2 linked regions of the Saccharomyces cerevisiae S288C genome follow. The protein of the gene in region 1 purifies or fractionates together with the protein of each later gene. This does not show direct contact. Each region holds a gene or a part of one and is shown in the gene's direction. Other genes may lie near its edges. The genes, in order: MCM7 and ERG26.

Region 1 (4,963 bases):
TCTCCGTACGACTGGTTCCGCAACACTGAAACACCCTAAAGGAAAGGCCGTTTTTATTTACCAAAAACCAATAACAAAAGTGAACGCTTGATAAACAAACATACTTAGCATAAATAACTACATATAAAATAGGCCAAGGATAAATGAAACGTTGACTAGAATGAATGAAAGATGTGAAAACAGTACAGTTAAAACTGCAATCCCACAAACTAAAAATAATATGAAGAACCTGTCTCAAATGTATAAATGCAGAATAAATAAGTAGCCGAAAAAGTCTCGGTAATTTTCTCCCTAATGATAACCCATATTTTCGAAAGACTCTAAAACCTGGTGTATGATCGTTGAGAACAAAATTCGTCCTTGTAGTAGTGTGTGTCTTTAGAAGCCATTCGGGCCGGTAGAAGGAAAGGTGTTGTTAGTCCCAGAGTGATGTAAGCAACATAAAACAACGTCGTCAGCTTTTTACTGGGAGCACTTGCCTTGTATGATTTAGAAACTTGTGAAAATGATTTCATGGCCAGCATTGTTAGTCCTCGATCTTTTGTGATATTTCCTATATATTACAAAAAAATTCTTGGTTTTCGCCTTGTCACAGGGAATAAATGTGGAATATAAAAGAGAGGAGAGGAGAGGAAAGAAGAAAAAAAACTTGGTGTCCGTTTGCAGATGGCCTATTATATACCCTGCTTATATAACTCTGAGAATTAGGAATATTTTGCTGTTGCTATGGTAATTAACATATTTCCAACAATAATGACCTTCTCGAGCTATTGTCTTCCTTGCAGTGGCGAAGAAACCACCGGAGAGTTGCAACGAACTGCCTTTCTTAGGAAGTGCGCGGGCTCTCTATTATGATAGGCCGATACGGTACAAAAGCTTAAAGTTGCCTTTGTATTACCTTTTTTAATCGCAGCAAACAATGCGAAGCACAGGTGTTCACTTTCCTTAGCTTCCCCTTTTCCGTGCTTTTGTTTATACTTCGTACAAAAATGAGGGGAAGGTACCAGGCAGGATACCTCACTGATTACGACGACAAGGAAAAGAGTAAAAATAATTTACTGTAAAACTTCCAAATTTGTCTGAGAGCAACAGAATAGAAGCACAAAGAAATGTACCCTACGAGAGACAGAGAGGGTAAAAGAGTAAGTAAATTCTAAAGTGGTGTGAATGTCATAACTTAAACTATTACCCACGGGATACCTGCTAGGTCAACGTAGCCGCTACTCGAATATAATAAGCGCTTCTTGTATATTTTCTCAATAACAGGTCGAGGCCCCTTCTACCCTTGAATGCTACTTATTACTCACTCATAATACATTGTATAAGCCTTCGCGTTTTTCACGGCCTCGAAAAAATTTTTCTTAACTAATTTACCCAGAAAGGAAATTTCCTTATAAGGAAAATAAATGCAATTCATTAAGTCGGTTTGCTTCTTTTTTCACGAAAGTGAGATACAAGCAAAGGACCAGAGCGAGATGTACTACAGTAGCAGGCTACATACACGTCTTTACCAATAACTTACATTTAGAAAGGCAATATAATCACTACCTAGATTAGCTTGAATCTTGCAGGAAGAACTCAATACAGATAGACCAGATTATGAGTGCGGCACTTCCATCAATTCAGCTTCCTGTCGACTATAATAATCTTTTTAATGAAATCACCGATTTTTTGGTGACTTTCAAGCAGGATACGTTGTCTTCTGATGCAACACGAAATGAGAACGAAGATGAAAATTTGGATGCTGAGAATATCGAACAACATCTATTGGAAAAGGGGCCCAAGTACATGGCGATGCTACAGAAAGTGGCTAATAGGGAACTGAATTCCGTGATTATTGATTTAGATGACATTCTACAGTATCAAAACGAAAAGTTTCTCCAGGGCACACAGGCAGACGACCTTGTGTCTGCCATTCAACAAAACGCTAATCACTTCACTGAATTATTTTGCCGTGCCATTGACAACAACATGCCGCTACCAACAAAAGAAATTGACTACAAGGACGACGTTCTTGATGTTATTTTAAACCAAAGGAGACTGAGGAATGAGAGAATGCTCTCGGACAGGACCAATGAGATCCGAAGCGAAAACCTCATGGATACCACGATGGATCCACCCTCTTCCATGAATGATGCGTTAAGAGAAGTTGTCGAGGATGAAACTGAGTTATTTCCTCCTAATTTAACTAGACGCTATTTCCTTTATTTTAAGCCTCTATCGCAAAATTGTGCTCGTCGTTACAGGAAGAAAGCAATTAGTTCTAAACCATTATCTGTTAGGCAGATTAAAGGTGACTTCCTAGGCCAATTGATTACCGTCAGAGGTATTATCACCAGAGTTTCTGATGTCAAACCAGCTGTGGAAGTTATCGCATATACCTGCGATCAATGTGGGTACGAAGTTTTCCAAGAGGTCAACTCTCGTACTTTTACTCCGTTGTCAGAATGTACTTCCGAAGAATGTTCCCAAAATCAAACAAAGGGTCAATTGTTTATGAGTACACGAGCTTCCAAATTTAGTGCCTTTCAGGAATGTAAAATTCAGGAGTTATCACAACAAGTGCCAGTGGGTCATATTCCTAGGTCGCTAAATATCCACGTTAACGGGACGCTGGTAAGATCTTTATCGCCTGGTGATATCGTCGATGTAACTGGTATATTCTTGCCAGCGCCCTACACCGGTTTCAAAGCTTTGAAAGCTGGCTTACTGACAGAAACTTATTTAGAGGCACAGTTTGTCCGTCAACACAAGAAGAAATTTGCGTCTTTCAGTCTGACTTCTGATGTAGAAGAGAGAGTTATGGAATTAATCACCTCTGGTGATGTTTATAATAGGCTGGCAAAATCTATTGCACCGGAAATCTACGGTAACTTGGACGTAAAGAAAGCGTTGCTGCTATTACTTGTCGGAGGTGTTGATAAAAGGGTAGGTGACGGTATGAAAATCAGAGGTGATATCAATGTTTGTCTGATGGGTGATCCCGGTGTTGCCAAATCTCAACTGCTGAAGGCCATTTGCAAAATATCACCTCGAGGAGTGTATACCACTGGTAAGGGTTCCTCAGGCGTTGGTCTGACCGCTGCCGTCATGAAAGATCCTGTCACGGATGAAATGATTCTAGAAGGTGGTGCCTTAGTACTCGCTGATAACGGTATTTGTTGTATCGATGAATTTGATAAGATGGATGAAAGTGACAGAACGGCAATCCATGAAGTTATGGAACAACAAACAATTTCGATATCCAAGGCGGGTATCAATACAACTTTGAACGCCAGAACCTCAATCTTAGCGGCAGCAAATCCGTTGTATGGTAGATATAATCCTAGATTATCACCTCTGGACAATATAAATCTACCAGCTGCTTTACTATCCAGATTTGATATTCTCTTCTTAATGTTAGATATACCAAGTAGAGATGACGACGAAAAATTAGCCGAGCACGTTACATATGTGCATATGCATAATAAACAACCGGATTTGGACTTCACTCCAGTAGAACCCTCTAAAATGAGAGAGTACATTGCCTATGCTAAGACAAAGAGGCCAGTGATGAGTGAAGCTGTAAACGATTATGTGGTGCAAGCTTACATCAGATTAAGACAAGACTCCAAGAGAGAAATGGATTCCAAATTTTCCTTTGGTCAAGCCACTCCGAGAACTTTACTAGGTATTATAAGATTATCTCAAGCGCTAGCAAAGTTAAGGTTGGCTGATATGGTGGATATAGATGATGTGGAGGAAGCCTTGAGGTTGGTCCGAGTCTCCAAGGAATCATTGTATCAAGAAACCAACAAATCTAAAGAAGATGAAAGCCCCACAACGAAAATCTTTACGATCATCAAGAAAATGTTACAAGAAACTGGTAAAAACACGCTATCATATGAAAATATTGTGAAAACTGTAAGACTAAGAGGGTTTACCATGCTACAATTAAGCAACTGTATCCAAGAATATTCTTACTTAAACGTCTGGCATTTAATTAATGAGGGTAACACTTTGAAATTCGTGGATGACGGTACCATGGACACAGACCAGGAAGACTCACTAGTGAGCACGCCTAAACTCGCACCACAAACGACCGCTTCCGCTAATGTGAGCGCCCAAGATTCTGATATCGATCTACAAGACGCTTGAAAGTTCTAAAAAAAAAAGCAACAGGGCCTTCATTCTTTATTCTTTTTCCCCCTTTTTTTCATTTCCATATAGCTGCACATTCAAATTTACCTTCTGTAACTTACTTCCAAGGCCCAGTTTTCAAGATATGTATTCTGTATTATTATAATTTTACTAATATTATTCATCGCTTTTGCCAGCCACAGACCCCACACATTTCGGACTTAACATTATGACTGCGCATGTCCGTGCACCGCGGCCCAATTCTTGTTTTTTTTTTTTTGCGGAGAAAGGAAAATTATCTTCAAGCGGAATAGGGCCAGCTAGTATTGCTCAGATGTGCCTGTGGAGAGCCGTGCTACAGGGTACCGTCAGCCCCTGAGTATACCAGAGAGTACACCGTGCGGAGTTCTTCCAGAAAATGAAAAGATTGTTCTCAGAATAATTCGTAGCGCTTGATAATAATCCGAATTTGAGATACCTGCCGGCACCCATTCTGTTATCGCCAAGAGGACTTTTAGGGGACCCGCAGACAGTAAAATTTTTTTCATTCATTAACATGTGAAGGCAACATTCATCGATCTCCATCCCTACTGTCAAAAATATAAGTATATATATATATATATTTATATAGTCTATATATATATAGTCCCACTCTCAAACTAATATAACCTTTACAAACCTGTCCGCTCAGTACGGTAGTCCTATTTTATTCCGTTTACTAGATTATATTTGAAGATATTTTTTTATTCTTGAAAATCCCGGACGATAGTATTTTTAGCTGAAGAATATTTGCGGGGAGGAACTATATAGACACTCGAAGCAAGAGGGGAAAAGGAGAAAGAAA
Region 2 (3,733 bases), on another chromosome or scaffold:
GGGACCTTCAGAGGTACTTTCGGAAATCACGCAAATATTATGCACTAGTAACCCTCAATCTCTAAATAACTTATATTGTCATCTGTAAGGCAGCAAAATCCAAGATGGGCAATGTATATAGGTATATAGTTTAGTATTGTCATCTCATAGAATATCAACTGCATAATATACATGTATATATAATTTCCCATTCATTTAGAGGCTTCTTTTTTCGTCTGTATCGCTGAACCTTATGCCGGTTAAATCTAACAAAATTTTTTTGAACTGGAGGAACTAAAAAAAAAAATATTAATCTTGACTAATATACTAATCAGTCACTTTACATCTTAATGAAACCGAAAGAATCACTGATAAAATGTCCGACTCCGACTCCGACTCCGATTATGAATTGTAAGTACAGGATATTTTCAACACAGTAACGTAGAATTACTAACTAACACGAAACTTAATAGGACACTTTCTGCTAATGCCCTCGCTGCCCTTGAAGAATTCAAAAGAGAGGAACAACAACATCAAGAAGCCTTTCAAAAGCTTTACGACGAAACGGATGAAGACTTCCAAAAGAAAAAAAAAGAAGAAGGGATGAAGCTTTTCAAGGAAGATTGGCAGCTTTCCCAGTTTTGGTACAGCGATGACACAGCCGCAATTTTAGCAGATGCCATATTGGAAGGTGCGGACGAAAACACTGTAATTGCAATAGTTAGTGCGCCATCCGTCTATGCTGCCATTCAAAAGAAACCTACTAATGAAATTCCAACCGAACATATCTACTTGTTCGAATTTGATAAGAGATTCGAGTTGTTAGCTGGAAGAGATCATTTCTTTTTTTATGATTACAATAAACCACTGGACTTCAGTGATGAAATTAAAGGAAAAGTTGATAGATTGTTAATTGACCCACCTTTTTTAAATGAAGATTGTCAAACAAAGTGTATGTATATCATAAACATATCCCTACTCATTTTTTAATCTTTTTTCCAGTATCTTTTCATCTTACTAACTGTTATTCATTGATATAAAATAGCCTCTATCACTGCAAAGTGTTTATTAGCGCCAAATGACAACTCTAAAACTAAGAAAGGAGTTTTTAAGCACCGCCTCATAAGTTGTACTGGTGAAAGAATGTCTGAAGTCATATCCAAAGTTTATTCTGACACAAGAATAACAACTTTTCTTCCTGAACATTCTAATGGTTTGAGTAACGAATTTAGGTGCTACGCAAATTTTGAATGTAGTTCATGGAAATTTGCTTCTTGAGCTTTTTAAGAGCTTCGATAAATTTGAAAATTAATTGTACTACATAAAAAATATGTAAACATCAATATATATAATATAATCACATTTCAAATATATCACGTGTTATATTTACTATATAAAAATTCAATAAATAAAAAGTTAGAAGATAAAAATTATATTATACATATTTTTATTTTTATTATAATTTTTGTTTTTGCCTTCCGAAAAGAAAATAGTTTTTTGTATTACGGAAATTACAGAAAAATGTTTAATTTTGATTTCATATTTTTTCTTTCTTTGAAAGAATATTGACGACAAAGTATTGGATAATTATAATGCAAGGAAAGGATATTTGTAGATCTTCGGTTCAATGAAAGTTAATGCGGTATGAATATTGCTTTCTCCAGGACCTTTTTTTTTTTTTAGAGGCTATTTTATTGTCGGTGTTTGTGGATTTTATATTTCTCGGTCCGATAGTCCCTATAGATCGTTTATTGTTCTCTCGAGAAATGGTATCGTTTAAAAATCTCATATAAGCCTGCAAGGAAAAGATTATGCTGCAGCTATAAAATAGAATAGACAACAATATAGATTGTCAATTTTGTCCAATTTTATTTGCAACTCTACCTGGAAGGGCAAACAAAAATAAATATGTCAAAGATAGATTCAGTTTTAATTATCGGTGGTTCTGGTTTTCTTGGATTGCACTTAATTCAGCAATTTTTTGATATTAATCCTAAGCCAGACATCCACATTTTTGATGTTAGAGATCTCCCTGAAAAACTTTCAAAACAGTTTACTTTTAATGTAGACGACATAAAATTTCATAAGGGTGATTTAACATCACCTGATGATATGGAAAACGCAATTAACGAAAGTAAAGCAAATGTTGTTGTTCATTGTGCTTCTCCAATGCATGGTCAAAATCCAGATATTTATGACATAGTGAATGTTAAGGGAACCCGTAACGTGATAGATATGTGCAAGAAATGTGGCGTTAATATACTTGTATATACTTCCTCTGCTGGTGTTATTTTTAATGGGCAAGATGTGCACAATGCAGACGAAACCTGGCCAATCCCAGAAGTTCCTATGGATGCGTACAATGAGACTAAAGCTATCGCCGAAGATATGGTCTTGAAGGCGAATGATCCAAGCAGTGATTTCTATACTGTTGCTCTTCGTCCAGCTGGTATTTTTGGCCCAGGTGATAGGCAATTAGTACCTGGTCTAAGACAGGTTGCGAAATTGGGGCAGTCGAAGTTCCAAATTGGTGATAATAACAATCTATTTGATTGGACTTATGCTGGAAATGTTGCTGACGCGCATGTGTTAGCTGCACAGAAACTTCTCGATCCAAAAACAAGAACTGCTGTCTCGGGTGAAACTTTTTTCATTACCAATGATACCCCCACCTATTTTTGGGCCTTGGCCCGTACTGTGTGGAAGGCAGATGGTCATATTGATAAACATGTTATTGTTTTGAAAAGGCCAGTTGCAATTTGTGCAGGTTATCTTTCAGAATGGGTATCCAAGATGCTGGGTAAAGAGCCAGGTTTGACTCCATTCAGAGTCAAGATTGTGTGTGCATACCGTTATCACAACATTGCTAAGGCCAAAAAGTTGCTAGGCTACACACCAAGAGTTGGTATTGAAGAAGGAATTAACAAAACGTTGGCCTGGATGGACGAAGGTTTGTAATGGCAATCGTTAGGAGCTTTTTGATCCGATTATCGAAAGATAGTATGTTGAAATAGCATATCTGATACGCACCGTATATATTTATTCTGTCTTTATAGATGAATAATAAGAATTGAAACACCTAAAACATCTTGATGACTAGGTTAGTATATATATGTATACACTCATTTAATGACTACACTATGAAGCGTCGGGGTAATGCATGTAAATAAATAGAAATAAATCATTGAAACAACGAAATTCTCATGTATGCCTGCTAAGGATTCAATTTTTTGATATGTACGGTCATAATACTTTCTGCTTAACAAAAAACGAGCGTAAACTTTTCATTTGCCATACACAAATTATAATGAGAAGAGTAACTTGAGTTACCGTCCACCACATTGCGCGAGAATTCACAGACTCTGATATGTCTCTAAAGGATTCTTCACGTTCTCTCATCAGTTGTTGCTCTCTCCTGATATCCACGATCTTAGAATTCAATATACTGACTTTTCCGTGCAAACTTTCCAAGGTTTCTTTTCTTTGCATGTCCAACATTGCTTCAAAACCGACTTCAAATTCGATTTCTAACTTTGTTTTGGTTTTCCCTACCCAGTTATTTACCCTAGACTGTAAACAGATCTTATATTCTCCAGATTCCAAAGCTAGAAAGCTGAAGTCACCGGAAGGAGAGCCCTGTTGGTGGACTACCCTATGATTATTATCAAAGACTTCTTCCACATCTATGACAATGCCATAGTCATTATAACTGGGAAGCGCATAATCTGCCAACTTATCATCGTAAACTTCCAAA

Evidence for each region.
Region 2: the proteins of MCM7 (region 1) and ERG26 purify together in Saccharomyces cerevisiae (affinity purification with mass spectrometry, with the first as the bait; 2 studies listed by BioGRID). This does not show direct contact.

What each region holds. Positions count from the first base shown.
Region 1 is NC_001134.8:624,173-629,135, forward strand, and holds MCM7 (DNA replication licensing factor MCM7), read left to right. Parts: upstream 1-1,599; coding exon 1,600-4,137; downstream 4,138-4,963. Other genes in the region: DER1 (derlin), read left to right, coding at 1-39; MIN7 (Min7p), read right to left, coding at 321-524. UniProt on the Saccharomyces cerevisiae protein: Acts as a component of the MCM2-7 complex (MCM complex) which is the putative replicative helicase essential for 'once per cell cycle' DNA replication initiation and elongation in eukaryotic cells.
Region 2 is NC_001139.9:494,657-498,389, reverse strand, and holds ERG26 (sterol-4-alpha-carboxylate 3-dehydrogenase (decarboxylating)), read left to right. Parts: upstream 1-1,887; coding exon 1,888-2,937; downstream 2,938-3,733. Other genes in the region: EFM5 (protein-lysine N-methyltransferase), read left to right, coding at 356-390, 453-931, 1,025-1,257; ERP6 (Erp6p), read right to left, coding at 3,223-3,733. UniProt on the Saccharomyces cerevisiae protein: Sterol-4-alpha-carboxylate 3-dehydrogenase; part of the third module of ergosterol biosynthesis pathway that includes the late steps of the pathway.